Linked DNA regions of Canis lupus familiaris. The protein of the gene in region 1 interacts with the protein of each later gene in a biochemical or structural test. Links are inferred from orthologs where the notes say so. Each region holds a gene or a part of one and is shown in the gene's direction. Other genes may lie near its edges. The genes, in order: CREB1 and RPS6KA5.

What was found.
Region 2: of the proteins of CREB1 (region 1) and RPS6KA5, one has a biochemical effect on the other in vitro, tested with the Homo sapiens proteins (3 studies listed by BioGRID, with this or other methods). The link is inferred for Canis lupus familiaris from reciprocal best matches to the Homo sapiens genes CREB1 and RPS6KA5.

The regions. Positions count from the first base shown.
Region 1 is NC_049258.1:15,801,941-15,805,763, forward strand, and holds part of CREB1 (cyclic AMP-responsive element-binding protein 1), read left to right. Parts: intron 1-306; exon of another isoform or gene 307-880; 5' UTR 881-888; coding exon 889-1,002; exon of another isoform or gene 1,003-3,599; coding exon of another isoform or gene 3,600-3,673; intron 3,674-3,823.
Region 2 is NC_049229.1:62,155,402-62,159,224, reverse strand, and holds part of RPS6KA5 (ribosomal protein S6 kinase alpha-5), read left to right. Parts: intron 1-1,674; coding exon 1,675-1,836; intron 1,837-3,013; coding exon 3,014-3,139; intron 3,140-3,525; coding exon 3,526-3,659; intron 3,660-3,823. UniProt on the Homo sapiens protein: Serine/threonine-protein kinase that is required for the mitogen or stress-induced phosphorylation of the transcription factors CREB1 and ATF1 and for the regulation of the transcription factors RELA, STAT3 and ETV1/ER81, and that contributes to gene activation by histone phosphorylation and functions in the regulation of inflammatory genes.

The DNA.
Region 1 (3,823 bases):
TGTGTTATTTATGGAATCACTATAGGCAATCATCACTCTTAATAAATTCATTTTTGACAGGTAATATACAAAGCACTAAATGATAACAGTAGTACACAAGTAAAAAGTAATCCCTTTTATTGTGAATCTTTTAGACATAATTATCACCAGAAGTTTATTTCTGTTATCAGAAAGAAATATCTCATCTGCATGTAGCTGCTGCTGCTAGGAATTGTTCTCCACTAACTTATGCTGCCATTTAGTGCTAGATTACCCAACAAACAGACTAGCAAAGTAGGGCCCCAAAGTGAAAAAGAACAGCCTTGATTAACTTACTCAAAATTTTATTTCATGTTTGTGTGCATGTGTAGTGTTGTACACTGTACATGGGGTGAGGAGTCAGAACACCCAAGATTTGCAGTGTTTGGGGCCTCTAATTGGGCCCTGTGGCTGTTTATCCCACCTTTCTATCTTGATACCCCACAACTTGGGCTGATTTTGTCCTACCCCCAGTAATTTCCTGTGGAAGTAGCTTATAATTTTCTACTTCTTCCCTGTAAAAGGAGGGAATACCCTAATAGGAAGTACCATGAAGCCAATATTTCATAGACCCTGGCATCAGCTCTCTTCTACTCTACCTTCTCTCCATACCTGAGGAGTACAGTTTGAAGAAATTAGAATTTTATTGGCACCCTCCTCCCCTTGTTAATAGGGGAGATTTGTGGAAGAAATAGTTGGAATAACAAGGGAAAAGACAAGTTTTTTTTCTTTTAACTAGATTTCGAAGTACATTTGCTAACCTAACGAGCACATATACCTATTTATAACCTGAAATTTGTGTTTAAAGTCACAAAAGCACAAAGCACTGTAGTGCTTGTAACACTCTTCCATATTATTGTAGGTAACTAAATGACCATGGAATCTGGAGCAGAGAACCAGCAGAGTGGAGATGCAGCTGTAACAGAAGCTGAAAACCAGCAAATGACAGTTCAAGCCCAGCCACAGATTGCCACATTAGCCCAGGTATAAAATACATGGAGAGATTCCAAGTTACGTCTCTTCCAAGAGGAATATGTTTTAGACAAAAAGATTTAGTTTTCATTGCAGAGAGATGCATAGAATGAGCACAGACATTCTTAGAATATCAACATTCCTGTTTACTTAGTATATTAGCATAATTTTAGAAATGATTCAGTAACAGAACAGAAAAATGTATTGTTAAAACACTAATTACCTATTTGTAGTGATCTGATTCAGAATAATGACATTTTGATTAATGGAAAGAGATTATCTCTCTTAAACAAGGGAAGAATACCTGATAAGGTAACAGCTTTTTTTTTTCTTTTTTTTTGTTTTTTTTTTAATCACACAGATTTTTTGAGGCATGGGAATTTAGATAACCGACAGGCTAACTTTTCTATGTGCTTAAACCAAAAAGTAGGATAGGCAAATAGATTGACACACAAGTAAATTTCAAGAATGATAATGGGTTTTTGTTTCCTATATCTTTTAAATATAATTCATGATTCCTTCTGTTTGTCTGTCTTAAACATTTCTATCTCTAGAGTTATATTCTCTCATTTTTATTTTTTGTTCTGATGTATTTTTCCTCAATTATTTTATTAACCACTAATTGTGTATATATGAGTGAGAAAGGTAGTTAATATAAAAACCAAGTAACAGACATAAACCTGCTAGATCAGAGTATCATATTGCCTTTTTCTGATAAAGGCTCCCGGGAGAAAATAATTCCAGCAGAGGTTCTGGAATGTTGAGCTTCGCCTTCCTGAAGAATTTAAACGCTCTCCTCAGAGAGTCCCTGAGCAAGAATGGGTCTTGGAGAATCTGTGGCTAAACACAGATGGTTACTACACTGAACTAAAGTATGGCCCAAATACTTGATCTCCAGCAGGGATATAGTCAGAAGGAGTGGGCTGCTCTATGTTTTCTACTAAGAGTACTAGGGCTGACCTCCAACCCTCAGGGGAGAGACAAAGCAGAATATATCTGGGAATGAAATAAATACTTGGATAAGGCAGGTGCAGGAAAAGGGGAAAGAGCCAGGACTTCATCAGTACATGGTCAAGGCAAACACGACAGATCAGAGTCTGGGCTCACACAAGCATTTGACCCTCTGGTAAAAAGAAGGTACAGTTCTAGAAGGAATCTTGGTGCTGACAGCCCTCATACCTATCTCTTGGGTGGCACTATCCTGTCTGCTCTGCTTGTCCTCTAAGTCTGCTGTATAATGCATTCCTGGAAATTCCTTTCCCTTTACTGTCTTTCTGTTATTGACTTTGTGTTCTTGATACAGTAAAACGTTTTCCAGTGGTTTCTTAAGCAAGTTTGGGTAAAAAAATTCTTGGTAAAAATATTTTTTCTTGGGCACTTGGGTGGCTTAGTTGGTTAAGCATCCCACTCTTGGTTTTAGCTCAGGTCATGATCTCCTGATCGTGGGATGAAGCCCCACATCGGGCTTCACACTTGTGGAGTCGGCTTCAGATTCTTCCTCCCTCTCCCTCTGCCCCTCCCAGCTTTATTTTATTTCTCTAGTATCTTATTTCTCTCTGTTCACAGTGCTTCACTATTTCATTATTAGGGTCTTGGTTCGGATAGTTTTTATCCATTGTGCTATATATATAATTAGTGGGCCCTTTTATGGTACAAACTCATGTCTTTGATTCTGGGCAATTTCTTTAAATTATTTGGTTGAAGGTGTTTTTTCCTCTTTCTTTTTCTCTAGGATCCTTGTGATCTAAATGATATACCTATGGGATTATTTCTCTAATTTTCTCATCTTTACTGCTTTCCATCTTTTTGCTCTGCTTTCTGGGAGATTTCTTCAGCTTCCTGTTCCAAAAAGTTCCTTTTGTTCTCTGAATGGTCCTTTTGTGTTTTAATAGCATCCTGTTATGTTTTACAAAGGCAGTATTTTCTGTCATCTCTGAGAATATTAATTAGGTTTTAAGTTTTCTTCTCCCCACATAGATTTTCCTTTGTATAGCTTTTTGCCCTTCAATGTGTTTTGGTCTCCATCTTTTATATTAGAAACTTTCCTCGAATGTCTTAGAATTTGTTCTTGTCTGTTCAAGTTTAAAGCAGGAAACCAAAAAACTATTGGAAGCTCTGGATGTGTTTGGGGCCTAACAGCTATGAATTACGAGCTTCACTGTAGGGTGATTATGGCTTTCCCAATGTCAGTATCTTTTAAGTCTGTTTAATTTAGCCCCTTGTCATTGGTTAGGTTCCTGAGGGAAGGCCTTCCTAATCCCTTGCTTAGGGGAAAGGCCTGGGAGCTAAGAGAGAGAAGACTGGAGGTTAGTAACTCCACTGTCAGCAGTGTTTGGTATAGGCAGTCAGGAGACCACTGTCCAGAAATTAAATCTCCGTTTTTCTGTCAGCATGGGGTAGATTAATTACTCTTCTTCAAGGAGCGTGGGGAGGGGATCCAGTTGCTTCTCAAAGAACCTTTAACTAGCCTTATTTTCTCAGCCTCTCTCTTTACTCCACCTTCCAAGGTGTCTTAGATACTGAGCCTCTTAAGGATTTTATGGTGCAAATCAGGCTTTCCTTGCCTCTACATCATGAGTTGGCCTTTTGAGATCTTCAAAGTCCATTACCATTCATCCGTCTTCCCAGCATCCAAAACTATTACTCTCATCTCTTTTCCCACTCTTTGCTCATGTGATTGGACCTGTAAAAACAAAATCAATTTTATGAAATTTAATTGGAGATTCAGAAAGGAGCAAAATAATATACACATGTTTAATCTGTCATCTTTATTAGGCAGTCCAAGAACAATGACATGTTGTTTGAGTTATAGAAAAGCTAGTTTTCTATTCCC
Region 2 (3,823 bases), on another chromosome or scaffold:
TTGTTGAGAAATCTGGCTCAAAATTTAACAATAAAAAAAATTTAACAATAAGGTAAAATTCAAGAAAGTACTCAAGCAAAATATCTCAATCATGTTTTCCTAGGGTCGTATTCTCCATGACTCCTTCTATTTGTAAATATTACAGTATGTCTTTCATATGAGAGAAATTTCTCTTTTCTATAGCTTGGAATAGTAATTTTAGGCTATTTAATTGCCTTGCTTTTTAAACAACAAGGACACTTTAGGAAAAACTAGAATCCAACTTGTAAAGACCTAAATGGAGAGGAGGTGGAGAGGAGCATAATAGCATTCAATCTTTTACACACCAAACGTTCTCCTGCTAACAACATATTTCTTTAAATGACCCCTTTACTCTAATAGTTTCTCTTAATGTGTGTATAAATAGCCAAGCACAAATCATATGCTTGTAATGGAAAACATTACAGCCACCCAGAGGACAGAACACTAACTAGAAAAAATCAAGAGACTGACCCTTCCACTAGCTAATGTTTAAGTAAAAAGGTTATCTCTTGCTTCTGGGCTTCAGTTTCCATCTAGATCAAGTAAAGGAGATGAGCTAAATGATCTCTAAAGCCCACTCTAAGCTAGAAAAAATAAAAAAAGTGAAGACCTGTAATCTAGTGATTTTTTTTTCTACATTGCCTCCACAAGAGGGCATAATAAAAACATTTTATGTTGGTTGATTAAACTTAACGACTGTCATCAACCGTCTCTGAAATCGAAATGTGTCTTACAGTGGATATCATAACCATTCCAGCTGGTAATGCCTTTTCTTCCTAAATGGTACATAAAATAATGGTGTATCTCACTATCAGTGATGACATTTTAGATTTGAGGAAGTATGTTAATAGGATAGCTGTAGAATTCAATTCAATAAGTCTTGTCTGAGGTGGTTTTAAGTGACAGAAGGAGCATAAGTTAAATAGAGCACAGAATTGAATTTGAGTACTCTAAAACATAGCACATAGCAGTTTATCAGGCAGTGAGTGTCTGGCATGAGGGAAGAGGGGAACCTGGATTATCCTATGGGGGAGAGAAGGAGCAGTATTTAAAAAGCTAGAATACTAGTTAAATGAGAAGCAGATGATTACATTAGTATGATAGTACCATTTTCACTTAGAGACCTAAACAAGTGCATGATTTATAGTGAGTTTTTATTTTCTGATCTGTCCAGAGGACCAGGAGGGAAACCAAGTATAGGCAGAGAGTCACTCAACATTGCCTCTAGAAAACAGGAATATTCCTTTAGAATTAATATTCATATCCATAGAGCATTGAAAAGCCCTTTATTACAGTTCAGTTTTGTTTTGTTCTGGCCTCCTTTCTCAGGAGGGTCAGGACAAAAATAATTTTTCTGTTATCCCTAGGGTATCTCGGTGCCCCCCAGAGGACCCAGCAAGACCCCACAGTGACCAAGGGCAGTCTCATCTTTCAGCATTGGCTGGAGCAATCAACTGCAGTCAGAAAATGTGCTCATGCTTTAAAAAAAATAAATAACCCACCATATTTCTAATTATTGATTGGCAATATGTGTACTTTCCGTATCAACCAATGAAAACCCGAATCTGTCCTTGTTATTCTTAGAAAATTCTCAGAAAATACTCCAACTTTGTTGGTTTCTACTTTGTACCAATTTTCTTTTCTCTGTTTTAGAAAATAAATTGGGATGATTTAGCCGCCAAAAAAGTGCCCGCGCCATTTAAGCCAGTCATCCGAGATGAATTAGATGTGAGTAACTTTGCAGAAGAGTTCACAGAGATGGATCCCACCTACTCCCCAGCAGCACTGCCCCAGAGCTCCGAGAGGCTGTTTCAGGTAATCTCCAAGAGTCTGTTCATGCACAGGGGCCATGTGTGCTCAGAAAAAAAAAAAAAGAAAAAAAAAGACTAATTTTCCCATGAACATGTACTTGGCATCTTAAAAGCAAGATTCTCTAATCTCTTAAACATAGAAATACTGCACATTATCAACTGAAGTTTATGGTCTGTTACATATTGGATATTATGTGTTTTTTTATATATAAAGAAGTGCTGATTTTTTTCCTTGAAATTTCATTTCTGTTCAGGCTCTTTTATAGAAAAATACAATGCTACTGTATTTTACCTCTATCCATACAAAATTTTCTGCAGTTCATTAAAAGTATTATCTGATTCTTTATCTTCAGCCAACAATTTTAACTGCTTTCTAACTCCTGAAAAAGATCCTAGAAAAGATTTTATACTTAGATCTTTCTCAGACTTGCAGTAGACTCACTGTCAAATGGCATCAGAGCTTTCCTTCTTGAGTCCCAGAAGGATCCCATTAGTATGGCCTCATCTGGTCACCTGGGCTGTGTCCCTGGCCCTTAATGACCCAAATGTGTAGTACATGGCTGGGTACATAGTAGATGTTCAAAAAAACATCCTTCGAACTAGTGAATGTTCTAGCTTGAGCAGATTAATCATCTATCCCGATGCCACTTTTGGTTCAGGCCATCATTCTGCCATTTGATTTTATTTCTTTTCCAAAACTCAATTTAAAATTTGAGTCAAATTTAATAATTGAGTCAAATAACTGCTAACTTAGAAACTAACTGTAGTGAACCTTGCTACAAAACAGTAGCCCTTGGACCACTTTGTCTAATGCCTTAAACTCTACCTTTTTGAGAAGTTAGTTGTGTTTTTATAAGCGAACTTTTATCAGCAATGCAAAAGAATCGCAGCTGTGAGTCAGATACTGGGGGTAGATTAGGAAGTAAGGTTTTTCTGCCTTTAATTTTGAATCGGTTTAATTCTACCAGAAGATGGCATTATCTCCTTCTGAAAAGCATTTTTCTATTGATGTGAAATCACCTTGCATTTTAGATCACAAATAAAATGAGATTCATCTTAACACCTATTTGAATGTTTTTCATTCTTTTTTGTTGATATAAGGAAAAAATTGCTACAGTTTGGTCTGTGCTAACCTGAAAAATTGCAAATCCTCATTCTTTACTCTTCCTTTTCTTTTGAAGGGCTATTCCTTTGTTGCTCCTTCCATTCTGTTCAAGCGTAATGCTGCTGTCATAGATCCTCTTCAGTTTCACACGGGAGTTGACCGTCCTGGAGTGACAAATGTTGCCAGGAGCGCGATGATGAAGGTATAGATGTGGTCAATGAGATGACATAGTTACGATTTAAATACCAACACCAATTAACATTGTCAAGGCCAGTGAACGTGAGACACTTACCATTTGACTAAGATGCAATTTTAGGAAATGAGTAAGTGGAAATAGCAGCATTTGCCCTAGAGAATTAGTCATATCAACTTCAGTGAACTCCGTTTTGCAATGATAGCAAATTATGTATCTTAAAAAGTTATATAGATGAAAGTAGAAATGAGCTAAAGCAAGATGAATCTTAGAAGATTATAAATGTATCCCACACATATTTATTAACATTGATAATGTTCTTTTACCCACAATGTTATTTATCCCTCTGCATTCCTAGTATTTTCTGAAATTAAGTGATGTTGGTTTCTTATCAGGACTCCCCCTTCTATCAGCACTATGACCTGGATCTGAAGGACAAGCCACTGGGAGAGGGAAGTTTTTCAATTTGTCGGAAGTGCATACACAAAAAAAGTAACCAAGCATTCGCAGTCAAAATAATCAGCAAAAGGTAGGACCATTTCTGGCATTCTTTTGTATGGACTCATCCTGGTCAATGAATTCTGTAAATTAGGATTTTTATTTTAAAAGCAGTGGTTTCTTGTAAGGCTTTTCACCCATGGGTTTAGCCATTCAGCTCATTAGTTGATCCATTATCCTTCTGACTCTAATAGA